Linked DNA regions of Struthio camelus. The protein of the gene in region 3 purifies or fractionates together with the protein of the main gene of each other region. This does not show direct contact. Links are inferred from orthologs where the notes say so. Each region holds a gene or a part of one and is shown on either strand. Other genes may lie near its edges.

Region 1 (7,747 bases), on a different chromosome or scaffold from region 3:
TAGAGTGTAACATGAAGAAATCTTAATTTTTTTGCCGTCCTCCCCCGTGTATATCATGTAGTGAAATGGGGTGGGGATATTAGAGGTTGAATTGGTGGTTCATGTATTTATATTTAAAAAAAAAAAGTTCACCCCTCTTCTAATATAATAGAAGATACATTTTTAGTTCTGAACTTATTATTGAACACACCTTTACAAGTTTTAAGTCATCCAAAATTTTACACTTGTACTTCAATAATTGAAGTAACCTTATTGCAAGACAAGTAAATAGCTTTGCAGCACAACCAATCTTAAAGGATATTAAGTAATACATGTTCTATTATATCATGTAATTATTCTTTTTCTCTTTCTTCAGTTACCGATTATTATGGTGGTTGCTTTCTCTATGTGCATTATTTGTTTGCTAATGGCTGGTAAGTCACTATTTAGTTTGACTTCACAAAATTAGCTTGCTTGTATATTGTTTTTTGTTTGTTTCTTTTAATAAATGGGTGTTAGAAACTATTTAGTATATATTTGCTTGCCTCTCAGTCATACTAAAAGGTCTCCAAGCATGGCTCTGGAGACTGAGGGTCAGCACTACGTCATTAATGTGAAAAACCTGAGGTACTATAGAAAATGAAGCTAAAATTAGTAGAAGTAATTTAGGTGTCATTTAATTGCCCCAACATTTAGTCGGTTGCACTTCAGTTGGATGTCTGGCTTTGCTATAGGCTGGATGAATCCCTTCACAAATACCTACCTAATTCTGAGCAGAAAGTCAATCCAGATAAGGCAGATGTTGGTGTAAGCTTGGTCTGAAAGAAGCCCCCCTTGATCTAAATCCATGTGACAAATTGTGGAGTTCTCGCCTTTTGCCTTTGCCTTGAATTTTATAACATGAGTGCCAATGGAGTACTTGACTCCGTGACCTCTGTAGCTGTGTTTAAAGTGCTGTTGGAGTTGTGTGTGGCAAACAGCAGAATGCTAGCTTAAGAACAAATAATTGTGGCTTGTCAACCTCTAGGAGAGGAGGTATGACATAGTATAACAAAAGACCCTAGTACCTGTGGACGTGCTTTCAACTTCAACGTTTGATGGCAGATCTCTGTGGGAGGGCTTGGGCAACTATTTTGCTTTTGTATTAAAATACTCTTATAGGTAATGAGAGATAATGACATGAAGTGTTTATCGACTCTCAACAGGTGATACATGGACTGAGACATTGGCCTATGTACTGTTCTGGGGAAGTGCAAGCTTTGGAACTTTTGCTATCATCCTTTACAACGGCAAGGATTTTGTAGATGCACCCAAACTGGTCCAGAAAGAGAAGATGGACTGAATTTGTGTGTGTGGAAAGCGGCTTGGTACAGAGGATTCCTCAAGCCACACCTGGAGTCTCTACTGACCTGCTTTCCACACCAAATAGTGGTCTTTTTAACGTTCATCCTTGGCAGCACGGGGAGAAAGTGAATCGTCGTCTTTCGTGGTAGCTTTCAGCTGAGATCTGACTCTACAGTCTTGGTTGCAGTGATCTTTGGAATGTTGCATTAGTGGAGGAGGCTCCACCCTTACCAAGATAATTCAAAGATGAAAGCCAGCTTTGTGGCGTCTGGAGTGTTACAAGATATAAATGGACTGCGTAAGTTCGCAGTCCACCTGGGTAGTCTCATCTGAATTTTTGATCTCTGGTTTGACAGGAGAGAGCCCTCATTCTGTTCATGTGTCAACCTATCCAGGTGTTGGAGTATTATTAATAGAGGGGTCTAATCATGTTCTTTGAGCAATATGGCTTAATAGCAGTAACTTGTTCTTAGATTTACAGCTGGATTACATTTGTTAAAGTCCACGTTAAGGAGTCTTTTTGTGCATATTTATGTATTTTTCACTAAACATAAAGGATTGTTGAATCCTAATGCTTCTCCTCTAAAATAAGCTTTGCACCCTGTCTTATCTAGGACTGATGCAATATTCTACTAATCATTGTTTGGGTGAAAGGACAGTGTATTTGGATGCTTCTGAAATTGCAAATGTCTTGCACTGTTTCAATACTGCAGTCTTTAGATGATGATTCATTAGTTAGTGAGTTAAAATATATAACCTTCTTTCTAAAGACGTAAATGAAATCAAAGAATGTAGACTCCTCTGCAGTGTTTATTGAACCCTCCTTATGCTAAAGGTCCAAAGTACACCATTATTTTAAGAACGGTCACAAGATTAAAAAAAATGAACTTCATATTATTTTGCTAGTCAGCTGCTTCTATATTTTTTGGTTATGTTAGAATAATTTATGGAAGAAGGAGTAACAACCTGAGGAGAAAAGCGTTAGGCAAAACCCCATGTTTGCACTTGGGAGCAACAGCTTGCTTTTCGTGCATGATGTTGTAACACACTCTTAAAAACAAAAACAAGAAACTAAGCTACAAAATAACTTGTGCTGGTTAACCATGAATGTGTGTCTTTAAACTTAGTGCTTCCAAGCTGTATAAAAATAAGTAATCCTAATCAAGGACCAATTTTAAACTATTTTGTCACTTATTTTATATGGTTTGTTCAAAACCAGACGTGAAACTTGCTTTGGGCGCTGTGCATTGTTTAATATTTCCTGTAAGTACAGCTGTATATTCGGATTGCGGTTATAAAGCTTAAATGGGGAGAAGGGAGAAACATGTAGAATACTAGGGCTAGCACAGTTCTCACTGTTGAAGCGAGAACACAAAACACTGATACTGCAGTGTTTCATTGTGTTATGACTGAAAATATGTACAGATTTTTGCAATTGTTAACTGTTCATTTTAACCTTGAATGTTTCTGGAGGCCTCTCTGGGTTTTGTTTAAAGGTAATCTGTTCATAAGCACTAGTAATTGCAAAGTATCTGTTTGCTTTTAGATGCTGTAATGGAAATACCAGTTGAGACAGTTAACTGGAAAATCCTCTAACTTAAAATTTTCAAACATGAACTCCATAATGGATATAAAGTATAAGAACATCATAGACTATCTAAAAGTACTGTTTTGGGGGGTTTGGGTATTTTTTCTTTTTTAAATGGCTCACTGGCAGGTGGCATTTGAAACTTGGTTCAGTTGTCTTGCAGTCTGTAACTAGATATCTGCGTCTTCGGTGAAGAACCCGTTGCAACAAAGACCAAACTTGAATTGCTAGTATAAACACGTTGTAAGACATAGACTAACGTAGGTTTTCAAAGTTGGAGGGCATCTGTATTTCAGTGCTTTGCAAAGAGTCTGTATTTCTAAAGTCACAAATGGTGTACTCATAAATGACAATAAAATGTCCAACTTTTCTATATACTGTCAGTTGTGTTTTGTGCTTTGAGTGGACTTTTTCCAAATGGTTCAAGGTCTTTTTCCACCAGAAAGATGCTTCCGATTTGTTGCGGTTCATAGCAGGTAAATATCCTGCTGTTTCTGTGCTTAAATATTGACGATCTTGCACTGAGCACCAAGCATTTTCATTAGCATCGTGTTCTGCTCTTCCGTGCCAATTCTGGATCTTACATTTCTGAGAACTGTTACGGGTGGATTTTTCTTGAGATTAAGCGCAAGCCTCACCTCTTCTCAGTGTTCAAGGCTCTCGTACTTTCCCAACACTAGTTTGGTGGGTTGTTTTGTTGTATTGGGTTGTTTTTTTTTTTGTGTGGACAATAATAGCCCCTCAAAGTGAAAATTCAAGTCACTATCCTTTTTCCTTCCCTCACTGCAGATAGGCATGAGGGTTTTTTTTTTTAAGTCTGTTTTTTCATGCTTGTGTTGCAGTTTGCTAGAGCAACCCGCTGGCCTGTTGGAAACAGTCAAATGCACTTGTCTAAATGCAGAGGTTCTGAACAAGCTGTTTCTGAATGACTAATGAAATAATAGTTTGAGTGTAGTGTTGACATTTTAAATAGGATCAAGCTTCACTAGATGACTAGGTGTGCACAATCATATAAGATGATTGCTAGTAAAATTGTATACTGGTATAACAAAATTGGTCCTGAAGCCATTAGTTGAAAGAACTTGTTTTTTTTTCTTTTTAAACTTTGTCATCTTTTGTGGGGGGAGAGGGGTAGACTTTTAAGTTTAGAGCAGCTTTACTGGGAAGCAACTTGGGAAAATACTGAAATAATTGCCTGAAAGGTAAGGCAAATGTAGTGGCAGAGCTCCGTGCCCTACAAGTAGGGTTGGTTGGCCCAGAACAAAATGTGAAGTTCAGCAGCATTTGTTTGTGAATCTACTTCCATCTGGCTCTTTTTTTTTTTTAAATCTAATTCTTTTTTTCTTCATATTTACACTCTTGTTTCTTGTTTCTTTTCTCCCCCTGTCATTAAACTGTTAGGCAAAAAAGGAAAATCAAGAAAAGGAAAGAAACGGCCCTTGCTCTTTCCTGGCTTCCCTGTGGTGAAATCCTACCACCCAGCATAACCTTCCCTTGCCCCCCAGCTGCTCCTTAGGGCCTGCGTCATATAATGTTGCATAAACAGTCACTTTATGGGAGCAAACACTTTATATAAAAATGTATTTTTACCTCAACCCTCAGGTTTTTGCTGAGGGTGGTGTGTGTGTGATTTTTTTTTTTTTTTAATATCGTGGCAGTGGGTACTGCATAGAGGGAAAAATCTCGAGCTGTGCTTCGAGCCCTGTTACCGGCTGGTTTGGAAAAGACTGTTATCCTGGCCTCTTTTAATGTTACAAAAATAATAATCATTATTTAAGCCCGCCCGCCCGCTCCCTGCCTTCGCGCCCCTGCGCACTGCGCATGCGCTGACCCCCCTCCCCCGCTGGGGGATGGGGCGGGGCCGCCCCTTCCGGCGCCTGCGCGGCGCCGCTTCCGCTCATTCATTCTCCTCGGCGGCTGCCGCTTCCTGGCGCCAGTGGCGGCGCGGCCTGCTCGCAGCAGCCTCCGCCGCGCCCGCCGCCCGGGCCCTCCCGCCCAGGGCCTCTCCTCTGCCCCGCGCGGCGGCCGCCGCTGCGTGCTGAAGGCGCCGCCCGGCCGCCATGAAGCTCGTCAGGTGAGCGGATGGAGGCGGATGGAGGCGGCCGGGCCTGGCGGCGGAGGCGGGGAAGCGGCCGCGCTCGCGCCGGGCCGCGCTAACGGTCGCCGCGCTAACGGTCGCCTCGCGGGCGCCCCTCCCCCCGCCGGGCGGCGGCTCCGCCGTGACCTGAATGCCGGGGGTGGGGTGGGGGGAGGCTGGAGTGCTCAGAAAGCCCTGATTTTTGGGGGGGAAAGCCAGAAATTATTTTCTGGCGGTACTGAGAAGCGCTGAAACGTTTCCTTCTTTGTTCCGGATAAGCGCAGTATCCGGGGCAGGGTGCTGAAGTCGGTAGCAGCTGTGCGGTGTCCCGGCTCCTCCCGGTCGGGTAGGGGTCGCGCCTCGTCTGGTTTCTTGTGTCTTGCGCTCGTGCAGTGCCTTAATAAACGTTTTCGGTAGAACCCGCGAGATCTGGAAGCGTTTTCTTGGTAAACGTGAGAGGTGTGGGCCCTGACGTGCATCAGTGTTCTCTAGTAGAGAATGTTATGTGATAACCCATGTTGGCTTTATGTGGGAGTAACAAAAAAACAAAAAAAATACCTTTTTTAATTTCTAGGTTTCTCATGAAACTCAGTCATGAGACTGTGACCATTGAGCTGAAGAATGGGACGCAGGTGCATGGAACTATCACAGGTATGACATGGTGGTAAAGACTAGAGCAAAATACCGGCTGTTCCTTTTCTGCGCATAATTGGCAATTGTGGTTTGGCTTGGGCTTTTTTGTTTTGTACTCTTTCTTATGATGACCCTCTAGTTCGTATCCTTTTACGAGTATCAAGTGTGTTTTTTGCAGAAGAGTCTGGGCGTTTGCAGGAGCTACTAAAAATACAGTGAAGAGCTTTGACCAGTCGGCTTACCACACACCACCATCATCTTTGGCCTGGTATCAGGGCCAGTTCACCTGCAGTCAAACTTACAAACTATATCAACAGCGTAATATGCCATCTGTTCATAAGCACTGCTGGGAGATAGTGGATTGATTGTAGTACTTATTGGGAGCCTCCAAGTCGGATGGTCCTGTGGGCTCTGCTTACAAGTAGGCTTAGGGGAAAACGAAGTAAACCTACGCAGACTGTTTTGTGGAGCAAATCTGATGCAAGAATGATCTAGTCTTAGAATTTTAGCAGCATGATAATGTTGGTGAGCTAATTCTAGCTCCCTATCAAACTGGTATACTATAGCCATGTAAGAACTTTATAGTAGAGCCACCAGCAGAGGATTTCTTTGTGTCTGTAGTAGGTAAATGGCAAATGTTAAGCATTCACGTAGTCTTCAGTCAGTCCAAGTACGCTGTAGATGATTTTAATCTAGAAGGAAATTATTTATTTTGAGTGTAGCTTTGCTCTGTTTAAGGTGACTTTATATAGGAATGCATCTTTAGGTACGCTTGCATTAATTTCCTGAAACTGATTTGAAAACGCACAGCTTGATGAGGGATACAGGGCAGAGAGGAATCCTGGTGTAAAGAATCTGGTTCGTAGCTGTTGCCAATGATTTATCATGTAATAATCTAAGTTTGTGAACGTTAATGTCCAGGGAGGGGTAAATCTATAAAACGTGCTAGTTTATAAAATGAATGCGTTCCTTTATGTCACCGAACTGAAAGTTGTGGGGTAAGCCTTTCAAACTCAGCTTCCTATATATTTAAAAACGCATGGACTGTTTTGTTTTTTTCATAATGTCAGAGACTGGTGTTGCTCTGAGAATATTTGTGTTAGAATTACTTCAGAGGCAATCAGGTCTATGGGGTGTGCTGTTGTTAAAGCAAACCCTTGCGGATAAGTTGAGGAACGTTCTTGGTCTCCTTTGCACCCTAGACTGCTTTTAGAAGCTCTTCTGCCCTGACGTTATTTGTAGCAAAGTTCACGCTTGGCAGAGCTGTATTCCTGGCGATTGCTGAAGTTCCTTTTTGGTCAGTAGCAATGTGCTGAAGTTTGGCAGGGTTAAAATCTGTTGAACGTGGCATTATTCTGCTGCCAGGTCTATCAGCTTTGATTAGCACCTGAATGTACCATCTTGATACTCTGATTGCAGCATGCTCTATTGAACCCGACTAGGTGGGAAATGAAGAACGTCTCCGTCTGACCTTGGTGCTCTTGCAGGCTTAGTTATTGAGCAAAGCCTTGTGTCATGCTAAGAATCTGTAAAAACTTGGAATGGAACCCATGTTTCTAAAATGACACTCTTCCCTTTACACTGCTGCATGAGCCACGTTAATATTTGCTGTGACATCTGCAAAATGTAGTATCTCCTGGTGTATCAGGAGATGCTTGGCCAGAGCAAGCATGCTGAAGGGGCGAGCTTTATGCTACGCATACGTTACACAAATAAGGGGACAGGTCAGGTGGATTACAGATGTTGGAGAACTGTTTTATTTAAGTAAAATCTAGGATTGGGGTGGGGGGATGGAAGAAATACTTGGAGGTCACAAGTGCATTTTTTGTGAACTTTGGAGCTCTGCTAAGCTCCTTTGGTGATTAGGCTGAATTCATAAAATTATGAAACCATTTAAAGGCATAAGCACAGAACAGTGGTCCTATTTCTGGTCTGCTACTCGTTTACATTATTTGCCTTGATGAAGCACTTGTCTTTCAGTTTTATCTTTCCATATTTTTGAAATGAGACAATAGTTGCTTTTACCTCACAGAGCTGTTTGTTCACACACTTTGAATACATTAAAATTTTGCTCATGTGGGGTGCCTTGTCACTGAATTAGCGGATTTTTTGTAAATTATAATTTC
Region 2 (7,220 bases), on a different chromosome or scaffold from region 3:
CCTGGGGCCGCCGCTCCGCGCAGCCCGCTCCCCGCGCGCTGCGAGAGACCGAGGCGGGGATGTTTTCCGTGCGGGAAAAGAGCTTAGACACAGGCAAAACACCGGTGTTGCCCCAAAGTTTGGGGGGGGGAGGGGAGCTGACAGACTCACGGCCTCTCCGCGCGGGGCCCGGCGTCCTGGGGATCCGCGCGGTCCGTTCTCGCCGCCGGTGCCGGCTCCGGCGCCCCTGGAGGGAGCAGGCGGGCGAGTTTTGGGCGGGCGCGGAGGGAGACGCGCTCGAGGGCGCTTCGGGGAGGGCGGCGGCGCTCCCAGCCTCACCCGGCCGACGCTTTCCGCTCCCTCTCGCGCCGGCGGAGCGGGCTCGGCGCGGTGGCCGGTGGCGGCGGCGCCGGAGCTGCAGCTGCTGCTGGTAGGCGAGCAGGCGCCTCCGCAGGGCCCGTTTTCGCCGCTCCAGGTCGCCCGCGCCTCCCCGCGGCTCCTCCCGGGTTTTCGTCGGCTCCGGCCGGCCGCCGGACCCCGCGGGGGCAACGGCGGGGCCGAGGGGCTGTCGCCGCCTCTCGATCCGCTCCCGCGGGCGCGAGCCACGCTCCTCCGGCTCCCCGCGGCTCCGGGGCTGCGTCGCCAGCTCTGAAAACGAAACGAAGAGCTCCGAAACGGTTCCTGATCTGAAGCCGATCCCCGTCCCGGCGGCTATCGCCTCGCGCGCTCACCTCGGGGCTTGCTCCTCGCCCCCGGGGCCTCCGCCGCGCGAGGGGCCGGCGCGCCCGCGGAGCCGAAAACCCCGCGGCGGGGCTGATCCGCGACGGGGTCCGTGTCCCTGACGGGCAGCTCTCCGGCCGTCTCGTCCAGCAGCGGCCGGGCCATGGCTGCGGGAGGGTCCGGCCTGCGAGCGGGGAAGCGACGGCGGGCCGCCGGTTAGCGGCGGTGGAGGGTTTTGCCTGCCGGTTAATCCGCTGCCATCTGCCAGGCGAATTTCAGAGGCGTAAATACCTCGGCTGCCCCAAACCCAGCGGCACCGCGTCCCGCCCGGACAGCGGGGAATATCCCCCCGTAATCCGCCTAATCCGTCGGACGCCCCCCCCCCCCCACCCCGCCAGCAGGCGCTGACGTTCCTGCCTGCGCTTCCCCGCGCCGAGGTCGGGCACGGCGGCGCCCCGGCTCCGTGCCCGACCTCGGCGTGATTTTTCGGGGCGCGAAAAGCCCCCCTCGGCGGAGGAGGAAGGCGCCTCGGCGGGGAGGGGGGGTGCTGGCGTACGTGAGCCGGCGCTGGGGCTGTGGTGAGAGTGGTTTCAGCGCGGCGGAAGGCGAGTCGAAGGCGGCGGAGGCCTCGCCGCGCGGCCGGCCTGCGCTGGAGCAGTTGGGCTGTAGCGGCGCGCGCGGCAGGCGCTCACCGCGGCTCTTTTCTCTCCGTAGACGGCGCAAACTCGCCGCCCTGTAACCGGAGTCCGGCTTCGGTCCAGCCAGCCCCGGAGCGGGAGCGCGATTTCCAGGTGAGGGTCTTGCCGCTCGAACTGCGCCGCCGGTCGCGTTGCTTGGGCAAAAAACAAAAAAAACGGGGTGCTGCCGTCCCCCGGCTCGGAGCAAGCGCGGGGAATTTCTCCGTCCCGAGATCGGGCAGGTTTGCCTCCCCTCGCGCCCTACGGGCTGCGGGGAACGCTGGTCGGCGCGGCGTGCGGTTCCCTTCTCGGAGCGGGGCGGCTCGTCCTCCCCGACCCGCCGCTTGTGCGGCGCGGACGGCTTTTGGGACAGGCGCTAGAGGCAGGCGCGTTGCTCCGACTCGCGCTTTGACCTGGGGAAGCGTGGATCGGGGAAGGAGGACCAGAAGGAAAAATTAAGGAAAACGGTAACAAGCGCGGCCTGGTGCTCTCTTAGCAGCAGACAAGCGGGAAAGGCCAGTTCTTCCCAAAAGCTCAATCGTTTTCCGGCTGGTGCTAGCCACGAAACTACCAGACTGCCGAGACCTCAATAATTTGCTGCTTGAACGAGTCGCGAGGAACTTTTACATAGAGCTGACAGACCGAGAGACTAACGGTTCATGTGGTTGGGGCAAAGAGCAGCTATAAGGTCATTTCTGCCCTGAAAGACAGAGTGAAACTAGGCGGTTTTCTCCCCCACAGCACTCAGCTATGCTATACAGCACACCGGAAAGATGATGCGCCTTTCCCACCTGGCCCCGGCTCATTTAATCGCGTGTCATTTCCCAGCTCTCTTTGAGGCCGGCTAACCCCCGCCACGAGGCCACAAACGGGGGTGAAACCCGGTTCCCACCAGCCTGCGCAGCGGCGTTTCGAGCTGCGCGGGTCACCGCGGCTTTCTGACCGCAGCTTTTTGGGACAAATGTCTCGGTTCGCTCTGAAGTGAACACGAGCAAGCAGCCGCTCCTGGAGGGCAGCGGGGCTGAGGGCTGGCAGGAGGGGTAAACACCCAGCGCGCGGCCGCCACGGATGCTGCTGGAGCTGCGTTTTGTCCTCTCCCGTGCAGAAACATCCTCTCTCGAGCAGAAACGCTGAGCGGAGAGGAGCGGGCGGAGGTCCACTGGCGAACCGCAGGAGAGCGGCTTCCTCGGTCGCGGCCACGCAAGGACCCGGCATGGACAACTCCTCCCAGTGGCACGTGCCCTTTAACGCCACCAAGTATTTCCTCGTCCCCATCTACAGCCTCGTGCTGGTGGCCGGTCTGCCCCTCAACGCCCTGGCCTTCTGGGCCCTGCTGTGCCAGGCCAACGCGTCGGCGCTCTCCGCCTACTTGCTGAACGCGATGGCGGCCAACCTGCTGCAGCTTCTGACGCTGCCCTTCTGGATCCACTACAGCCAGCGGGACCACGCTTGGCCCTGGGGCAGCGCCGCCTGCACAGGGGTGGGCCTGGCCTTCCTCGCTGCCCTCTACGCCAAGAACAGCTTCCTCTGCCTCATTGCCGTGGCGCGCTACCTGGGGCTGGCGCATCCCCTGCGCTTCCGCGGGCTGCAGGCGGCCCGCAGCGCGGCCGGGGTGAGCGCTGCCTCGTGGGCGCTGGTGGTCACCGTGTGCCTGGTGGGCGGCGTCCTCCAGCCCTCGGAGATGCTGAAACCTCACCTCTGCTACGAGCAGCTGTGCCCGAGGGAAAAGGGCTACGCCTTGTTCAGGACCACCGCCGCGGCCCTCTCCTTCTTCCTGCCCTGCTTCTTCATGACTTTCTTCTACCTCCGCGGCCTGGGGAAGCTCAAGGAGATGACCAGCCTGGATGGGAAAGCCAAGCGGAAGATCGCCCGGTCCATCGCTTGCATGATTGCCGCCTTCTACCTGCTCCAGGTCCCTTACCAGGCCACCTCCTACTCCAGGTTCGTGGCGCAGCTGCTGTCGGAGGACACCTGCCCCTTCCAGAGCCGCCTCTTCCTCTACGACCGCCTGGCGCTGTGCCTCACCGCCCTCAGCGACGTGGCCGACCCCCTCCTCTACGTCCTGCTCCTCGGCGACGCGCGGGAGGAGCTGGGGAAGCGCCTGGCTGGCCGGGGCAGAGCCCCTCACCGCCGGCCGATGGTGTCCGGCACGGCCCGGCCGGACGCGGCCCAACCGGCGTGCACCGCGCTGTGACCCCCCCCCCCCAACCGCCCAGCCCCCAAACCTCCATCCCGGCCGCCGCCATCTCCGCTTCGGGAAGAGCATCCGGGACGGAGCGAGCCCCGGGATCAGGGCTGGCGGCAGGGCCGGGGGGGGGGGGGGAACACGACCAGGCCCCGTGAGGCGGCAGTTGGGGGGGGGGGGGCTCAAACAAGCCTCGTTTTTTGGGGCCGTTCCCCACTTTTCCTCACCGCATCAAGCGATTTTTGTTTTTTTTCCAAACGTTCCCCCCCCCCCAAAAAAAAAAAACCCATTTTCCTGCCTCCGGGATGACGACGACGACGCGGTCTCGTCCCCCCCCCCCCCCCCGCCCTCACACCCCGGCAGCGCCCCTCTCCTGTCAGGGTGGCCCCGCCCCCAGGCTGCCGGTAACGGTGCCCGAGCTTTCAAACCAGCCTATCAGCGTGCAGCGTTGAGGTGGCCGGGAGATTGACAGGAGGATGGAACAATAGCCTGCCGGCACCGCGCCCCGCCTCAGCCAATCGTCGTCGAGGACGGTGCCGAAGCTCCCGCCCTCCCTCTCCTGGCCCTTGCGTCATTGTCTTCTGGCCAATAGGAAATCGCCGGCGCGGAGTGTCGGGGCGGGGGGGGAGCCGTGGGAGAGCACAAGGCGCACGCGCAGAACGGCTCGGTTTCAGCGCTCGGGCTACGCCCCCCTCTGCCCCCGGTCTATGGCAGCCCCGCCTAGGGGCGGGGAGCGCCGGCGCCGCTCCCACGTTTATAGGCGGAAAGGGGTAAACGAACAGCACTCTCGACCAATCAGAACAGACACCGGCCTCGCGCCTTGGAGTGACAAGCAGGCTCGCCAATCGCCTCCTCCTCCCGCCTCCCGCGCTGCCGCGCGTTGGCCCGCCCTCTCCCCTCTGTCATTGGCTGGTCCGCGGACGGGCACCCCGCTCAGCGAATCGCGGCGCGCAGCGCCTCCCCTGCCGTCCAACGGCGGCGCGGCGGGGGGGGTTGGGCTGGCTTTCGTCCGGGCCGAGCAGCGCAGAGGGCGGCGTGGGCGCCATTTTGTGAGCAGCCTCAAGCGGGGAGGCGGCGGCGAGGAGGAAGCAGAAGCGGGCAGCGTGCGCCGGAGCGAGCGGTGAGTGGCCGCCGTTTCCCCGCTCCCGGGGTGGGGCGGGGGGGGCGGGGGGGGCTGGGCCGCAGCCAAGGGAGCCGGCGGCGCCGGTTTAGTTAACGGCGTCACACCGCCCCCCCTCTCCACCGCCTCAGCGCGAACCAGCCGTTGTTCCCCCCCCCACACACACCCTTCCCATCGCCGTGATGGTGGGAGGGGGGGCGGTTAACGGCTGCCTTGAGGAGGAGGAGGAAGGGGGGGGAGGGGGATGATGGCGGCGCGTCCCACAGCGCCGTATGTGTGTGTGGGGGGAGGGGGAGCCGTTGGCCGGGCGCGACCACGGCGAGAGCCGGGGAGGGGGGGGGGGAGGAGGGGAAGCGGAGAACGGAGCGGCGCCTCCTTGTGGGCGATACCATTCTGCGGTGGAGGGGGGGGGAACGCGCTGCGTAAACAGCCCTTGTGGGAAGGGGCCGGGAGGAGGGGGCGTGGCCAAGCCGGGAGGAGGGGGCGTGGCCAAGCCAGGTGAAAGCCGCCAGCCCGAGGAGGGGGCGTGGTCAAGCCAGGTGAAAGCGGCTAGCGCCCCGAGGGGGCGTGGCCATCCTGGAGTGGGCGTGGCCAGCCCGCTGAGCAGAGTCAGACGGGATTGGGGTAAGGGGGCGTGGCCATCCCAGGAGGGGGCGTGGCCACACTCCACGTGGCGCTGGCCCTGTTGAAGCCCCAAAGCTGCCGGGGTTGTTGGGGGGGGGGGGGGGGGAAGGAGGAGGTAACAGGACGTCGCTGCCCGAAGATTTGGGTGGAAAACAGGCCGCTTTTGGGGCTGGATTTCTCCCTCCCCCCCTTTTTCCCCTTACCCCCCTTAAAAAAAACAAAATAAATACAAACTGCTTTTCTGCATTTCTCGCCTTCCTGTCTCTCGAGCCGTAGCCCGAGGCAGTCGCCGCCTGTCGTAGCCCCTTCCCGCCCTCCCGGGCCGGATCACACGCGAGCGGGTGTATGTAGCACTGTATTTCTCTTCCAGGCTAAAGGCTCCTCTCTGCCATCATCATCATCACGATACTCACTCGCCAGCTTTTCTGGTTCCTTCCGAGATTGTAACTTTATTCCCCCCCCCCTTCCCCCTCTTGTCGTTTTGCTGGTAATAACCTGCTTCTGCAGTATCTGGCAGGGTTTAAAAAGCGGGGGGGAAAAAAAAAAGCAAACAAACCAAAAAAAAAAACACCCAAAAGACTTTCTTCTGGCCTCTGCTGTGACTCAGATCCCCGAGGTTGCTTGAGCTCCAGTGACCTGGCTTGTAGATCCCTCTTCGCATCCTCTTTCAGGATCCGATGTGTCGTGTGTTCGCTCGGTTCTCCCGTCTCCTCCTTGCCTCAGGGTTATGCGTGTGAGCCTGATGCATCGCCCTGTACGAATCCGCCCTCCGCCACAAGCTCACAGGTGTCTGACGTCCGAGCTGCTCCCTCGGAGACGGGAGAAGCAGAAGGGATTAGAGCGGAGACGGTTTTAAGAGCGTTAGCTGGAAGCGAGGACAGCTGTGAGCTTGGGGCCGTTGGGAGGCCGGCCGATCTCTCTTGGGGGGAGCGGGAGAGGCGGGCAGCGTTGCTGAGGAACCCTGACTCAATCTGTCCCTTCTCCTTTCACAGGGCAGCGAGGCGAAACCCCATCCCTCCTCACTGGAGCTCAGCTTCGTATTAACTCCCCTCCCCACACACGCACACCTCCCGATTTTATAGAGCCATTTTAACGGTGCCCCTGCGGCCTCTTGCTCCCCGCGCCACACTGGAGCTGGATTTAAGATGTAATTTTGAGAGTCAACCTGTATTTTTTTTGCAGCAGCTGGGTTAGAGGAGGAGCCTTTTAGCCCCTCATGAGCTGACCTCTCTCGGGTATTTTTAGAGTGAAGTGATGGTGTGCAAAGGGCTTTGATGGTCTCCTGCCGAGAGCTCTCCCCGCGCGGTCCTCTGGCAACCGCGGCTGGAACAGAGCGTGAGAGAGAGGGAGAGAACAGAAATGATCGTTGCTGACTTGACCTTTCGGCACCTCCCGTTTTTCTAATCTGGGCTATTTTTATTTTTGTTTTTTTACAGCGAGATTTTTTTGATCTTCAGCTACAGTAAGTTATTCAAAATTTTTTTCATTTTTCCTGCCTTTCCACTGATTTCCTTTTTATTGTTGTTGCTAGTTACTATTACTATTATACTACTATAATGCTGATGACTTTACTATGATGATATGTTGCTGATGGTGATGATAATGACACTGCTGATTTTTAACCGGATGAAATCGAGTTTTTCTGAGTGTTCCTGACTGAGCTGGGTTTTTACCCTTTGTGAGACACAGCGAGGTTTTTAAAATTTTTAAGTGGATTGATCACGTTAACTCTTTCCCCCCCCTCCCCCGACTGCTGAGAGTGGGACCCGGTTTCTCCTGAACTGTTTTAGAGCGTCTCTGGAAGTCTGTATTTTTATTTTTTTTTATTTTTTTTATTTTTTTTTATTTTTTTAATTTTTACTCTTTCGTTTGTGCCATTTTTAAACTGTTGCTGCCATATGATGTCTGTGGTGCT
Region 3 (7,019 bases):
CTTCTCGCCCCCCCCGGATGGGGGCCGAGCGGGACGTGAGGCCGGGGCGACCCCCAACGCCCCCCCCTTCTCGCCCCCCCCGGATGGGGGCCGAGCAGGACGTGAGGCCGGGGCGACCCCCAACGCCCCCCCCCTTCTCGCCCCCCCCCGGATGGGGGCCGAGCGGGACGTGAGGCCGGGGCGACCCCCAACGCCCCCCCCTTCTCACCCCGCACCCCCGGATGCTCCCGCCGCGGCCGCCAAAAGCCCGTTTGGCGGCCCAAGCGGCACCGGGCCGGCCGCAGCGGCGGGTAGCTGCCTCCCGCCGGACGGGACGGGGTGACGCGCGCCCCGGTCCCCCCCCCCTCACCCGGCACGTAGACGGAGGGGTTCTCCGACATGCCGGGCAGCGGCTGGTAGTCGTGGGGCCGGCGGATCTTCAGCGACTGCCCCTGGAAGATGATCCCGTCGAACGCCATGGCCTGGGTGGTCTCGTCCACGGAGCGGAACTGCGGGGGGGGGGGGGCGGAAAATGGGGGCGGCGGTGAGCGGAGCCGCCGGCGGCGCTTCCCCCCGCCGGGGGGAAAAGGCGGGAGGGGGACGGCAGAGCCGCGCTCACCTCCAGGAAGGCGAAGTTCTTGTCCTGGTTAATCTGCACGGCCAGCACCGGGTTGCCGGGCGCCTGGGTGAGGCCGCCGAGGCGCATCTGGGCGTTGAAGAAGTCCATCATGGCTTCCTGGGGGGGGGGAGAGAGGCGGGGGAGGCGCGGTGACGCCGGCCGGCGAGACCCCCGGGGCCCGGCGAGCCGACCGCGCGCGCGGAGACGAGAGCGGGGGGGGGCCGGGAAGCGGGAAACGACCTACTTGCCTGGTGCGGCGGTAGCAAACTTTTGTGCTACGAGGGATTTCAGCCCCACAATTTCCACTTTAAAAAGAAATGGAAACAACTCTTTGATCTTGTTTTTTAGGCCGAGAGTCAAATTCAAAATAAATAAAGGAGAGAGAAAAAGAGAGAGAGAGAGCGATGGCGAGAGAAGAGCAGAGAACGGAGCAGGGAGGGAGAAGACAGAGAGAAAGAGCAGAGAAGGAGGTGGCTTCCAGCGCTAGCCGCTGCGTGGGGCTCCGCTCCCGCGGGCCACGTCCAGGAGACGTCCGGAGGCGGCGTGATCCCGCTTCCGGGGCCGGACCCTCTTCCGCTCGCACACAGACCCGGGGGGGGGGGGAGGGAAAAGGGGGAAGGGGGGGGGGGTTCGGCGCCGAGACCTGACCCAGCTCGTGTCGCGGATGGCTCCTCCAGGTGGCCGGCGTCATCCCTCGGCTGCGCCCGTCCGCCTCCCGCCGCCCCAACGCCCCGCTCCCGAACGCCCGCCGTCGGCCCGCGCTCCGGCTGGGGAAGCGGCGGCTCGGCCGGCGCCGGCGGCGGCCCCCCCCCTCCCCGAGTACCTCGGTGATGCCGAAGGGGATGTTGCCCACGTAGAGGCGCCGCGCCTGCCGCGTCATCTGGCTGCCCACCACCGGCACCGGCGTGGGGGTGACGGCCAGCCCGTCCGGCGTCATGGTGGGCAGCAGCGCCGTGGCGGGGATCTGGCCGGCGGCTGCGGGCGACACCGGAGAGCGGGGCGGGGGGGCTCCGTCAGGGCGGCGGCTCCCCCCCGGAGCGCCCCGAGGAGCGCGAGGAGGAGGAGGAAGAGGAGGGGGGAGGAAGGGCGGCGGGCACCTTGCATGGCTTTGTACTGCATGGGCGTGATGTGCTCGAAGCCCGGCGGCGGCACGTCCCAGTACTTGCGGATCTTCTTCTTCTTCTCGTGCCGGGGCGAGCGGCTGCGCGGGGGGGGCACGCAGGGGTCGGGGGGGCGGCGGGGAGACCCCTCCCCAACCCGCGCCGCCCCCCGAGAGCCGCCGCCGCCCCCCCCCCCCCGCGCCCACGGCCACTCACCTCAGGGGACCCGAGAGGCTCAGGGGCGACCTGCGGGCGGAAGGAGAGGCTGTTGCGCTCGGCGCGGGCTCCGAAAGGGAAGCGGCTCCCCCCCCCACCCCGGGAAGGGCCCAGGCGTCCGGGTGCCCCCCCCCCACCGCCGCCGCTGCCGTACCTGCGCCGCCGGCGGTCCCGCGAGACGCTGCGCTGGTCTCTGTTCCGCCGGTCGCGGCTCCGGCTCCGGCGCTTCCGGTCGCGGCTCCGCGAGCGGCTGTGGCTGCGCTTCCGGTGCCGGTTCTCCTTGTCACGCTCTGCCGGCAGTCGGGGCGCAGGGGGATGCGTTGGGGGGGGGTCGGCAGCCCACCCCCCCCCACGACCCCTCCTGCCCCATTTTCCCCCCCCCCGACCCCACACCGCGGCGTTCCCGCAGGCCGGGAGGAGCCACGTGCGCCGGGCGGGCGGGGAGGGGGGGATTCGGCCACGGGGAGTCGCCGACGGCCGAGGAGCCGCCCCGGCGCCCCCAAAACAAAGACGGGGGGGGGGCACAGACCCTCCTTTTCAGGGGGGGCCCACGGGGACCCCCATCCTCCCCCCCCAGCAGCAGGGACCAAGAGCCCCATGGGGAAATGGGGGGTTGGGGGGGGAGAAGAGACCCCCAAAATGGGGGGCAGCCATGGGGGGGGGAAGCGGAAGAGACCCCTTCAAGGAGGCCCCCACATTGAAGGGGGGGGATTTAGGGATCCTCAAGAAGGAGATTCATGATGGGGGGGAACCCCCTCAAGGGGGGGGGAGAGACCCCCCCCAAGGGGAGGGTTCATGGTGGGGGGGGAGCCATGGGGGGGTGCGAGGACCCCGTGAGGGGCGTGAAGAGGGGGTGATGGGGGGTGAAGGGGGGGTGAAGGGGATCCCCCCCCCAGACACCCACGGGGGGGGGGAGGGGAAAGCCAGGCCCGGGCGCCCCCCCCACCGCGCCGGTACCTTGTTTGTTCTCGTTGAGCTGCCGCTCGAACTCGTCGAAGTCGGACATGATGGCGACGGCGATGGCGGCCCCGGCCCCGCTCCCGCCTCGGCCTCGGCCCCGCTCCCGGCTGCGGCTCCGGCTCCGACCCCGCGCAGGCCGCGGCGGCGCCTTCCCCCGCTCGGCAGCGCTCGGCCACTTCCGGCCCCGCGCTCGGCCGCTTCCGGCCGCGCTCGGCTCCCTTCGGCCGCGCTCGGCTCCCTTCGGCCGCGCTCGGCTCCCTTCGGCCGCGCTCGGCTCTACCCGCTCGGCGCTCGGCTCCCTCCGGCCGCGCTCGGCTCTATTCGCTCGGCGCTCGCCTCCCTTCGGCCGCGCTCGGCTCTATTCGCTCGGCGCTCGCCTCCCTTCGGCCGCGCTCGGCTCTTTCCGGCCGCACTCGGCTCTTTCCGCCTCCGCTCGGCTGCCTCCGGCCGCGCTCGGCTCTTTCCGCCTGCACTCGGCTCTTTCCGCCTCTGCTCGGCTCTACCCGCTCGGCGCTCGGCTCTTTCCGCCTGCACTCAGTTCTACGCGCTCGGTTCTACCCGCTCAGCACTCGACTCTTTCCACCTGCGCTCGGCTCCTTCCGGCCGCGCTCGGCTCTTTGCGCCTGCGCGCCGCTCTATTCACTCGGCGCTCGGCTCTTTCCGCCTGCACTCGGCTCTTTCCGGCCGCGCTCGGCTCTACCCGCTCGGCGCTCGGCTGCCTCCGGCCGCGCTCGGCTCTATTCGCTGGGCGCTCGGCTCTTTCCGCCTGCGCTCCGCTCTACCCGCTCGGCGCTCGCCTCCCTTCGGGCTCCCCCCACCGCTTCGGCTCCTTCCGCCTCGCTGCTCCGTCACTTCCGGGCGGGACCTCGACGACTTCCGGGCGGCGGCTGCGCCGCCGCCGCCGCCGCCGCCGCCGCGCCCGCTCCTCGCTCCGCTCCCCGCCGCGGCGACCGGGACCGGCTGCCCGTGAGCGGCCGCTCCGGTCCAGCTGCTTCTCCCGCCTCCCCCCTCCCCGAGCGGCTCCCGGCGGGCGGATCGGCACCGCTCCCAGCCGCGACCTCGCCGAGGCTCCCTCACTTCCGCTTCCGCCCAGGGGCGACTTCCGGTCCGCCAGCCCCGCCCACCGCCGCTTCGGCAACTTCCGCCGGGGGGGCGGAGCCAGCGCGCGCGCACGCGCGCGGAGGGCAGCGGCGCTTCCGGCCGCCAGCGGAAGTGTCGTCACGGGCAGGCGGGAGCCGCACGTGCCCCCTGGGCGGGGGGAGCCCTCGCGGTGACCCCTGACCCCGGTGACCCCTGACCCCGAGGGTCCCGGTGACCCCTGACCCCCCCCAACACACGGTGGGGAAAAGACACAGCCGGAAACGTCGCTTTTATCCCAAATCGCCGCTTTCTCCTCTGTCATGTCAAGTCTCTGCCAGAAACCGGTTGTTTTTGTACATTTTTCTCTCCCTTTTCCAGGGTGTTTTCTTTTTTTTTTTTTTCTTCCTTTTCCTGCTTTTTCCCTGGTCCAGGTGACGGGGGGGGGCAGAAACGTCACTGACACCGAGCTGGGGGGGGGCAGGGGACCCCTCACCCCCCGGGGGGGCCCAGGCTTCCGGGGGGGGGGGCTCCTGGCTGGGGCCCAGGTGTCCGGGGGGGTCTCTCGGGGGTCCCCAGTGTGCTGGGGGAGGGCTCCAGGCCAGGTTGGGGGGTGGTTTGGGGGTCTGGGAGGGGGGCCCAGGCGTCCGGGGGGCTCTCGGGGGTCCCCAGTGTGCTGGGGGGGGGCTCCAGGCCAGGTTGGGGGGTGGTTTGGGGGTCTGGGAGGGGGGCCCAGGCATCCGGGAGGGGTCTCAGTGCTCCAGGCCAGGTTGGGGCTGGGCCCAGGCGTCTGGGAGAGGGTGTTGGGGCTCCAGGCCGGGTTGAGGGGAGCTGGAGGGGGGCCCAGGCGTCTGAGGGGAGAGTCTTGGGGCTCCAGGCTGGTTTGGGGGGGGCTGAAGGGGGCTCCTGGGGGGGTCTGAGGCATCCAGGGTGGCTCCTGGGGGGGTCCCAGGCATCCAGGGGGGGTCTCCTGGGGGGGCCCAGGTGTCCGGGGGAGGCTGAGGGGGGCTCCTGGGGAGACCCAGGTGTCCAGGGGGGTCCCAGGCGTCCAGGGGGAGGTGAGGGGGGCTCCTGGAGGGGTCCCAGGTGTCCGGGGGGGGTCTCCTGGGGGGGCCCAGGCATCCGGGGGAGGCTGAGGGGGGGTCCCAGGCATCCAGGGGGAGGTGAGGAGGGCTCCTGGGGGGGGTCCCAGGCATCCGGGGGGGCTCCTGGGGGGGCCCAGGCATCCGGGGGAGGCTGAGGGGGGCTCCTGGGGGAGTCCCAGGCGTCCGGGGTGGGGTGCAGGGGCTCCAGGCCGGGTCGGGGGAGGTGGGGGGGCCCAGGCGTCCGGAGGGGGGGCCCATCACCGCTTGAAGCGGTAGGTGATGGGCAGCAGCAGCTTGCTCTTCTTGAGGGCCTGCACCTTCTTGAGGGTCTCGTCGTCGAGGGCCAGGAAGCAGCGGCGCGAGTACTCGAGGAGCCGCTCCTTGGAGGGGTCGAACTCGCCCACCTCGGCCAGCTTCTCGGGCGCCACGATGAGCAGCTCGGCGATGGGCGTCGTCAGCGCCACCGTGTTGCGGTCGACGCGGTGGTGCTCGAAGGCCCGGCTCATGCTCTTCAGCTTCTGGAACGTCGTCAGGATCTTCTTGTAGCGGCACAGCACCCCGTCGGCGTCCTTCACTGCCCCCCGGGCGCGGGGCCCCAAGGGTGGGGACGCGGGGACGGGTGGGCACGAGGACATGGGGACAGACGCGAGGACGTGGGGACGCAGGCACGGGACGGACATGAGGACACGGGGATGGAGACGAGGGGGACGAGGACATGGGGACAGATGCGAGGACGTGGGGACGCAGGGACGGGACGGACATGAGGACACGGGGATGGAGACGAGGGGGACGAGGACATGGGGACGGACGCGAGGACGTGGGGACGCAGGGACGGGACGGACATGAGGACACGGGGATGGAGACGAGGGGGACGAGGACATGGGGACAGATGCGAGGACGTGGGGACGCAGGCACGGGACGGACATGAGGACACGGGGATGGAGACGAGGGGGACGAGGACATGGGGACAGACGCGAGGACGTGGGGACGCAGGCACGGGACGGATATGAGGACACGGGGATGGAGACGAGGGGGACGAGGACATGGGGACAGACGCGAGGACGTGGGGACGCAGGCACGGGACGGATATGAGGACACGGGGATGGAGACGAGGGGGACGAGGACATGGGGACAGATGCGAGGACGTGGGGACGCAGGCACGGGACGGACATGAGGACACGGGGATGGAGACGAGGGGGACGAGGACATGGGGACGGACGCGAGGACGTGGGGACGCAGGGACGGGACGGACATGAGGACACGGGGATGGAGACGAGGGGGACGAGGACATGGGGACAGATGCGAGGACGTGGGGACGCAGGCACGGGACGGATATGAGGACACGGGGATGGAGACGAGGGGGACGAGGACATGGGGACAGGACGGACACGAGGACATGGGGACAGACGCGAGGACGTGGGGACGCAGGCACGGGACGGATATGAGGACACGGGGATGGAGACGAGGGGGACGAGGACATGGGGACAGACGCGAGGACGTGGGGACGCAGGGACGGGACGGATATGAGGACACGGGGATGGAGACGAGGGGGACGAGGACATGGGGACAGGACGGACACGAGGACATGGGGACAGACGCAAGGACATGGGGACACGGGGATGGAGACGAGGGGGACGAGGACATGGGGACAGGACGGACACGAGGACATGGGGACGGACGCGAGGACGTGGAGACGCAGGGACGGGACGGACATGAGGACACGAGGATGGAGACGAGGGGGACGAGGACATGGGGACAGGACGGACACGAGGACACGGGGACAGACACAGGATGGACAGGGACATGGGGACAGACGGGGATGAGGACACGGGGACAGGGACAGACACGGGGACAGACAGATGCGGGACAGAGAAAGAGAGAGACTCCGTCACGTCCGGGGTCCCCTGGGGAGGGACAGGGACGGGGGGTGGTGTCCCGGGGGGGGCCCTGGTGTCCCCAAGGGGGGCCCTGGGGGGGGGTCCG
Region 4 (7,911 bases), on a different chromosome or scaffold from region 3:
CAAGTTCTTCCAAGAGATCTAAATATCACCATCTGTTTTCAGTAACATGCACTCACAATCAGCCTCAGATTAGCAAGATAATCAACAAATCCTCCCAAAGCCAGGAAGCAGTGTCTAAAGTAATCTGGCCTCTCCTTCCTGGCAGAGGTATCCTAGCCTGAGCCAATGCCTGCTTCCCCAGCATGGCTGAGGAAAGCCAAGCACACGTGGTCCCTGCTGAGCAGCTCAACAAGCAAGGGGGGACAGCACAGAGACCCCGCAGCGTCTCATCTCTTACCTCCTCATCAGACTCGAACTGTACATTCACACCATACGTCTCATCAATATTGTCATCTGCAAGGGAGAGCCAAGTTAATTAATCTGAAAATCTGGAGACCATATGCAAGCTCTGCAGATCCACACATCCCACCTCCGTACATCCAAATTTTGAAAAGAACCAGGTTTCGGGCTTGAAAAGAGTCCAAAATTTTCTAGCTCCTCTGTGTGAAAACACTATTCCTGGAGTAAGGCTGGGTTTGGTACCAATTACCGTAATACTACTTTCTGCCAGCCCCGTTACTACAGCTGCAGCCCGCTACAGCACAGCCCATACCCATGTTCTGGATTTCCTTGTCGCCACCATAATCCGTGATCTTCTTGCCCAGGTTCACCAGCACGTGGTAGCGGGTATCATCAGTCTGGCCCAGTAGCAAATCAATCTCCTTCCGCCTCTCCTTATCACGCAGCTTCTCATTCTTCAGGACTGCCAGGACCTCATCAGCAGCTCCACAGAGAATGTCACGTGGCTGCAAAATAAAGAACGTGACCACGTGTTGCCAAGAAGAGGACTGTCATTCAAACGGTACGGTATCACTCCCTCCTATTTCTGGACCAAATCCTTTCAGCTTTCTGTTCTCAAGTCCTGGAACAAATAGCTCACCAGATTTAGAAAACATCTCGTTTCGAGCTCTGCACCCTCACGTAGGCACGGGGGGAGCAGAGATTGTGCCATCGAAAGGTCACATCCCACGACAGAGATATGCCACCCCGCATCAGTGTAACGAATATACTAACGTGATATCTACAAGCACAAAACACAGAATCAAGGGAGCGAATCCATCTCATGGGATAACGAAGAAGGACTCGGATTTCTCTCTCGCACTTTTACATGCACGCTTTGAATCCTCTGCTGGAGCAGAGATACCCTCGCTGACCTGTCCACGTCCTTACCTGGTCCCCAAGGGCTGCCTGAATGAAGCTTAGCAACACCTCATAGGTCTCGCGGGTCTCCTTGGTTTTGGGTTTGTAGATGATCCCCACCATCTCATCAATGCCCTCAGACAGCAGGGTATAACCCTTCATCTTGTTGATATCATGCCTGTCTTCATCACGCTTCCTTCGCCTAGAAAGAAGGGCAAGGAAGACAGCACCTGGGTTAGTCAGGAAGCAGAGCCGCTTCTCCCACTCTACGCCAAAGCAGCGGGAATCAAGGAGTCGTTTCTCTTTGACATAAGATACCATTAAGAGAGCTTTATGCAGCATGAACTCTCGAACCTGAAAAAGTTTCACAGTTCGGTTTATTCTACCACATTCACTTAAACACAAAACAATTGATTTGAAGTACAGATGCTCTTTTTAGTAGCTGGAAAGCGACCTGAATGGGGGTCGTAATTGTATTGAATTATACCACATTCACAGAACTAAAACAAGTTGAGATTGTATTACTTAAAAGACGGGGTCTAGCACATTAATTGCCTAGAGCTTTGTTAATCCAAATACAACCAGGAGGTTCTCTTTCAGGGCTCTGCGTCCCTTCGGCTTCGAACGGCAAGCTCAGGGCAGGAGTCAATCACTCACTTTGCTCGTCTTTCCTCCTGCATCTGCGGTTTGGTTCTCTGGGCCTTGTCTCCCATTCGGGTGCCCTCAAGCTTTCCAACCAAGGAAAGCACTTCTCCGGTCGGCTCATCTCGCCGAGTCCTGTCGATGAGGGAGCGATCTGCTTGAAGGACGAGGTTGGAGTTCTGGAAGAGAAAGAATAAAAACAGGCACTAATCGGGCCTGTGAAAATATTAACGCAATCCACGCAGTCCACTGCATCCGGACAGGTGAGACCAAGAAGCCAGCGCCAGCCGCGACCTAGGCCAAAGCAGGTTCAGTGCAGCAACCTCCCCCGCTCAAATCTAGAAGCCTCTTCTGCCTGCTCCAGAGGCTCTATTAAGTACATAAAACCCCCTTTAATGCAGCATGTCCAACTTTCCCCTGCCCAATGCAGGAAAAATAATGCCGAATTAAATTATTCATGCTTGAAGAGGCCACAGTTTTAGACTTTAAACTTGGACTGAGTCACGTGACGGCACCCTGTAACTTCTGGCAGTCGGGAAAGTCCCCGTAGGGTTCGCTCGTTACGCTACAGCATCTGACAACTACACCAGAACCGGAGCTTTTATTCTGCAGAAAGCCTCAGAGTCTGACAGGAGCACTTTTAAAATTAGCTTCAAAGCGGGCGTCGCACTCATTTCTGTTTTCCAAGGACGCCGAGCTCCTGACCGCTCTTGTAACAGCGGTGCTACAAAGAAATGTTCTCAAACTGGCTGGTTTTTAGGGGGCCCAGGGGGAAGGGGCGCTGCTGCGGCCGCGCCCAGGCGCGCCTAAACGGCTGCAGGGCGTCCTGGGGGCCGCGTCCTGCTCCAGCCAGCGGCGCTGCCCGCCCGCAGACCCCCGCGGCTGCCCGGCTCCCCTTCACGGCGACGTCCCGCCGAGCTGCGGCAGCACCGAGGCCGCGGGAGCCCGGGACCCGACCGGGCCGGGCCGCGGGGGGAACCCGGAGCCCTCCCGGCGCCTCGGGGGAGGTTCAAGGCCCCGCCGGGCCGCACTCACCGCTTTGTACTCGTACTGGAGGCTCCGCGCTGTCACATCCGCCATGGCGCCGCCGGGCTGGCCGCCGCCGCGCACCGGAGCAGGCAGCGGAACTTCCGGGGCAAGCGGAAGCAGTCTCCGGTGCCCCTAGGCGACCCGGAAGTGCTGGTGCCGCGGGGCGGCGTTGCCCCCTCGGGACTACAACTCCCAGCATGCCCTGCTGCCTCGGGGACTACATCTCCCAGCATGCGAGGCGGGAGTCTGCTGAGGGGAGGAGACACTCACGGAGGGGCTAGCCCCGCCTCTCATGCTGATTGGCAGGGGGGCGGGGCTTTGCCGTTGATAGACCGTTCCCTTGCTCCTCCCCACCAAAGAGCTGGCTCGGCCAGACGCGAGGGGGCGGGGCGCGCCGCCCTGCCCCAGCTCCGATTGGCTCAGACGGGAAAGGAGGCGGGGAGGAAGGGGCGGGGCCGTTGCCAGTTGCCATTTGAAAGCAGCGCCGCGGGTAGGAGGGGCCAGCGCCGCACATACCCCCCCCTCCCCCCACCCACCAGCCTCCCATTGGCCCTCCTCCCGCTCGGCCCCGCCCCTTTCGCCCAGGCCCCGCCCTTTCCTCGCACCCCGCCCAGCTAAGCCCCACCCCCAGAGCCCAGCGGGCACCCCCCCCCCCCCGCCGCCCCCTCGAGGGCCCGGCCATGGCGCCGCCGGGGCTGCGCTGGTACCAGATCCCGCTGTCGTCGGCCCGGGCCCCCCGCACCGGCCTCTTCAGCCCCCGCTTCCAGGCCAGCCTCCAGCGCTACCAGCAGCTGCGGGCCCTCAAGCAGCTGCGCGTGGGGCCCCCCTTCGCCCTGCCGCCCCCCGGCCTGCTGGAGGCCGCCCCCGGCCCCCCGGGCCTGCGCCGGCCGCGTGAGGCCGGCAGGGCGCGAGGCGAGCGGTCACCGCCACCACCACCGGCGGCGGCGGGGGGGGGCCGGCGAGGACCGCGCGCCCGGCCCCCTCCGCACCCCCGCCGCCCTCCGCCGGCGGCCGAGCGCCGCCCCGCCGCCCCGCCGCCCCGCCGGCCCAAAGAGACGCGCGGCGCGTCGAGCAGGCAACGCGCCGCCGGCCCCGGGGCCGGCCGGAGCTCCTCGCCGAAACGAGCGTCGCCCGGGCCGGCCCCGGCGTCGCGTCGCTCCCGGCTCAGCCCCGGGGGCGAGGGCGGGCGCCGCCGCGCCGGAGGCGGACGGTCGCCGGGGCGGCCACGAGGCCGGGCGGCTTGCGGGCGCCCGCCGGACGAGGCCAGCGGGCGGGCGTCCCCCGAGGACGGCGAGGACGTCCTGATCCCGTTGCGGGACCTGCTGCTGGCGGGCGACGAGGCCCGGAGCCCACCGCGGCGCGGCCGGGTAGGTCCCTGCTTGGCGCCCGCCGGGCATCCGGCTCCTTCCCCTGGGGTGTCGCGGGAGCCGCTGGGGAGTTAACGCTTTCTTGCCCTGTGCCCGCAGCCGGATCCGCTCGCCAACAGCCTGGATTCGCTGGTCAAGGAGAAGAGGTGAGGCGGGCCCAGGGCGTCACGCTAAGGGGCGCCCGACGGCCCCCGTCGCGCCCTAAGCGCCCCCGTGGCAGGGAGCAGGACCAGGCGGCCGCGCCGCGCAGCAGCCCGGAGTGGGTATGCGAGGACGACGGCAGCCCGCAGGAGTCCCCGGACGAGGACGCCCCGCTGCCCGAGGAGCACAGGTAGCAGTGGCGCGGGCAGGCGGGTGGCCGCCGCGGGGCACCCGCCGCCCGCCCGCCCAGCACCACGGCGGCCGCTCTGCCCTCCGGCCCGCAGGCTCTTCCTGGCCCGCTTCGCCGTCAAACCGGCGCTCATCCCGGCCGTGCACCCCGGCGAGCCCGTCTTCCACGCCCGCCCGCTGCCCGCGCCCACCCTCGACGCTGGCGGGCTGCAGCCTCAGAGCGACCTGGAAGCGCTCTTCCTCCGGTGAGAGCCCGGCGGCGGGGGTCCCGGCGGCTCCGCGCGCCCGTGGCCCGTCCCCCGGGCTGGGTGACGCCCTGCGGGAACACGTCAGCCGGCGTCTGGGCGCGACGGCAGCCCTGCCGGCACGCGCGCGGTCCTGCCTGCGGGCGAGGGCGGGTGTTCGTGTATTTGGTTGGGGGCGGGTATTTGTTATGTTTGCACGCGGGTGCCCGCGCCGGGCTGCGCGTCCGCCTGTGTCCGTGGTCGGGCACACGCACCCGTGTCACCCTCCGTAGCGCCTCGCCTGCCTGCCAAGCCGCCTTCGTCCGTGAGGGCCACCTCAGCCTGCTGTACCGCTGCGTGCCCGCGTGCCCGCTGCCCGTCCTGCGCTGGCTCTTCCAGGTAAGCCGGGCCCCCGCGGTGGGAGGATCCCCGTTGTCCCAGCCGTGCCCGGGCGGCGCCACAGCCGGTGACGCCCTCTTTGCTTTGGCAGCTGATGGCCCTGTGCCCGGATACGGCCAACGCTTTCCAGGTGCTGTGGGACATCAACGTGCACCGGCTGAGCACCGTGGGTGAGCGCGGGGTGGGCACGGGGCTGCCTTCACCCGGGGCGCCCCCTACCCCGCTCTCACCGGCCCCCCTCGCCCGCAGGGGAGCCCTGGTGCCCCACGGTGCCGGAGATCAGCCAGGTTTTCTGCCGCCTGGGCGCCGACCTTGGCGCCCTGCACCGCCAGGGCCTGCTGCCCCTCGAGCTGTGCCCCGCGGACAGGAGGTGAGCCCGGGATCGGCGCGGGAGAATCGGGACGCCTGGGTCCGCTCGGGTGCCCCCCGCGCTGACCCCGCTCCTCTCCCTGCAGGCCCCCGGACCCTCCCCGATGCCCGGGGCAGGCAGACCCCGAGGCGACCAGCGCCCTGGCGCTGGCGACGCAGCTCAGCGACATCTGCAAGGTGGCAGCGCGGCGCCCGTGCCCGCCCCGCGGTGGGACCTAGCGCCCGCTGGCGCGGGCAGCCTGGCACAGGGAGGTGGCTGCATCCACCCGGAGGGGCTCGTGTGGCAGCACCCGGGCGCCTCCGTCCTGGCTGACCGCCCTCGTTATCTCCGCCCAGCTAATGGGGCTGCTGCTAATGAGAGTCAGGCCCGGAGCAGCGCTGATGCCAGCTGCTGGAGGGGTGCCCGCTGCGGCTGCCGCCAGTCCATCCCTGCCCCAGCAACGATGCGGGCACGGGGGTGGTTCAGGGGTGTGTTCGGGATCCTTGGCGCCCGGCTCACACGCTGCCTTCCCCTGCCAGCTCCTGGCGCTGTGTGTGGTCGCCCAGCCAGGCCGCTACCCCGACCGTGCCCGCCTGGCGCTCCTCACCCTGCTCTGCTTCCTCAGCCTCGACCGGGCGCTGCGGTGCCAGCCCCTGCCCGACCTGCAGCACCTCCTGCACTGCCTGCTGGAGGGCATTGGGGACTGGCAGGAGCAGGTACCCGAGGCAAGGGGAGCAAACCCTGCTGCACATCACCAACGCAACAAGTTGGGCGTGCTCAGCGGTCGGGCTGAGCCTGGCGCCCCCGCGCCCCGTCCCCTCGAGGGCTCTGCCGCCCGGGTGCAGCCCCGTGCCCGCCCTGCTCGTCGCTCAGCACCTCCTTCTCTCCCCAGCTGCCAAATCTGTGCCTGTCCCTGTGCCAGGTCTCGCAGCACCACCATAACCTGGTTGCCGTCGTGCGCCTGCTCCCGGACATCACGAGCAGGGGCAGGTACGTGCCCGCGCATTGGCACTACCTGCATCCCACCCCCCGGGATGCTGAAGCAGTTGCTGGCATCGCACCGAGCATCTCGTGCCCCCCGCGCCGCGGTGACGGGGAGTCGAGCTCCGTTTTGCCATGCAGGAGCCTGGCACGGCCCTGCGGGCGCCGTGCCAGGGCCAGGCTCGGATGCGTCTCGCTCTAATTCCTTTATTCCAACCGGCTGCACGCGCACAAAGCGGGCAGGACCCGGCTGCCGGCTCCGCTCGGGGCACCGCCGCCCCTCGCCCCGGGCACCTGGAGTGCGCCGGGACTGTGCCATGCCAGGCGCTGCACAGACGATCCAGCCTGGCACACGGGCGTGGGTTGTGCAGGGCCGGGCACGTGGCGGGGTGCGTGGGCGCGAGCTGGCACCTCTCCCCGTGCCACGCCAGCCCCAACACCCTTCTCACGCTCTTGCCTTCTCCGCAGGGAGCTTCGCCGACACCTGAGCCTCTGCATCATGGCCCGGCTGCTGGGGGAGCCGCTGGGCACGGTGCTGCCCGGCCGGGCGCAAGCAGAGGTGGGCGCAGCCTGGGCGCTCCCTCGTTTTCAGAATGGCATCCGTTACGGGCTCCGGTACCCTGTGAGCGGTGCCTCTGCGGGCGCGCGGGGAGACAAGGCAGCCCGGCTGGGCGGGCGTCAGCCTGCGCCCCTGACGCCCACTCTCCCCACCAGCTGCAGGCGCTGTGCCACCTCCTGGCGCTGGTCCGGCCCGCCACCCTGCAGCGCCTGGTGCTCGCCGGGTGCCAGAACGAGCCAGAGGACCCCGACCAGGAGGTGGGTGCTCGCTGCTCGGAAAACGGGTGCCGCGCCGGAGCTGCTGTTCCCCAGGATACCCTCCACCGTGCTGGTTTGGGCTGGACCTGGCGTGGGGAGCAAGGGAGCCTGGTGCGCCAAGGGGTGGCGGGCGCCCCAGGAGCAGCGCCAAGCCGTGCCCGCTCTCGCCCGCAGGCCTGCTACCTGAGCCACAGCCTCCTCATCCTCGCCAACGCCGTGGTGGGCACCGAGCGCTTGCTGGATGAGCAGCGGGTGAGCGGGGAGGGCGCGGGGGCGGCCCGGGGGTGCCCGCCGCCACCGCTGCCGCCTTGACGCCCCCGCGCCTGTCCCCCGCAGGGTCACCTCCAGCACCTCTGCACCCAGCTGGACCGGCAGCTCGGGGCCGGCCTCCGCGAGGGCTCCGGCCTCCTCTTCCGCACCCAGCTGAAGGGCTTGGCCACCCTCACCTACGTCAAGTGGCAGGACCTGCTGGCACAGCGCCCGCCGTGGGTAAGGGGCACCCCGGGGTGCTCCAGCCCTGCGCCGGCGGAGGCGGGGGCGGAGGGGGGACAAGCGGGCACCCCGGGGGGGGGAGCTGAGCCCCACGCCGCCGTGT

Evidence for each region.
Region 1: the proteins of U2AF2 (region 3) and SNRPD1 fractionate together in Homo sapiens (co-fractionation; 3 studies listed by BioGRID, with this or other methods). This does not show direct contact. The link is inferred for Struthio camelus from reciprocal best matches to the Homo sapiens genes U2AF2 and SNRPD1.
Region 2: the proteins of U2AF2 (region 3) and HNRNPC fractionate together in Homo sapiens (co-fractionation; 3 studies listed by BioGRID, with this or other methods). This does not show direct contact. The link is inferred for Struthio camelus from reciprocal best matches to the Homo sapiens genes U2AF2 and HNRNPC.
Region 4: the proteins of U2AF2 (region 3) and SNRNP200 fractionate together in Homo sapiens (co-fractionation; 3 studies listed by BioGRID, with this or other methods). This does not show direct contact. The link is inferred for Struthio camelus from reciprocal best matches to the Homo sapiens genes U2AF2 and SNRNP200.

The regions. Positions count from the first base shown.
Region 1 is NC_090943.1:50,585,837-50,593,583, reverse strand, and holds the start of SNRPD1 (small nuclear ribonucleoprotein Sm D1), read left to right. Parts: upstream 1-4,746; 5' UTR 4,747-4,971; coding exon 4,972-4,985; intron 4,986-5,562; coding exon 5,563-5,639; intron 5,640-7,747. Other genes in the region: SACM1L (phosphatidylinositol-3-phosphatase SAC1), read left to right, coding at 356-413, 1,185-1,321. UniProt on the Homo sapiens protein: Plays a role in pre-mRNA splicing as a core component of the spliceosomal U1, U2, U4 and U5 small nuclear ribonucleoproteins (snRNPs), the building blocks of the spliceosome.
Region 2 is NC_090970.1:27,503-34,722, reverse strand, and holds the start of HNRNPC (heterogeneous nuclear ribonucleoproteins C1/C2), read left to right. Parts: upstream 1-4,217; 5' UTR 4,218-4,681; intron 4,682-6,297; exon of another isoform or gene 6,298-6,452; intron 6,453-6,741; 5' UTR 6,742-6,767; exon of another isoform or gene 6,768-7,220. Other genes in the region: RPGRIP1 (X-linked retinitis pigmentosa GTPase regulator-interacting protein 1), read right to left, coding at 1-38, 151-627, 711-864; G-protein coupled receptor 4-like, read left to right, coding at 2,590-3,570. UniProt on the Homo sapiens protein: Binds pre-mRNA and nucleates the assembly of 40S hnRNP particles. Interacts with poly-U tracts in the 3'-UTR or 5'-UTR of mRNA and modulates the stability and the level of translation of bound mRNA molecules. Single HNRNPC tetramers bind 230-240 nucleotides.
Region 3 is NW_027182594.1:221,340-228,358, reverse strand, and holds the start of U2AF2 (splicing factor U2AF 65 kDa subunit), read right to left. Parts: upstream 3,013-7,019; 5' UTR 2,921-3,012; coding exon 2,872-2,920; intron 2,205-2,871; coding exon 2,069-2,204; intron 1,945-2,068; coding exon 1,915-1,944; intron 1,800-1,914; coding exon 1,696-1,799; intron 1,574-1,695; coding exon 1,422-1,573; intron 716-1,421; coding exon 599-715; intron 489-598; coding exon 350-488; intron 1-349. Other genes in the region: CCDC106 (coiled-coil domain-containing protein 106), read right to left, coding at 5,294-5,610. UniProt on the Homo sapiens protein: Plays a role in pre-mRNA splicing and 3'-end processing. By recruiting PRPF19 and the PRP19C/Prp19 complex/NTC/Nineteen complex to the RNA polymerase II C-terminal domain (CTD), and thereby pre-mRNA, may couple transcription to splicing.
Region 4 is NC_090968.1:1,325,461-1,333,371, reverse strand, and holds the start of SNRNP200 (U5 small nuclear ribonucleoprotein 200 kDa helicase), read right to left. Parts: upstream 3,006-7,911; 5' UTR 2,902-3,005; coding exon 2,857-2,901; intron 2,001-2,856; coding exon 1,837-2,000; intron 1,382-1,836; coding exon 1,210-1,381; intron 786-1,209; coding exon 593-785; intron 334-592; coding exon 278-333; intron 1-277. Other genes in the region: protein FAM178B, read left to right, coding at 3,531-4,217, 4,317-4,363, 4,438-4,548, 4,643-4,792, 5,065-5,170, 5,262-5,340, 5,420-5,540, 5,626-5,716 and 6 more. UniProt on the Homo sapiens protein: Catalyzes the ATP-dependent unwinding of U4/U6 RNA duplices, an essential step in the assembly of a catalytically active spliceosome. Plays a role in pre-mRNA splicing as a core component of precatalytic, catalytic and postcatalytic spliceosomal complexes.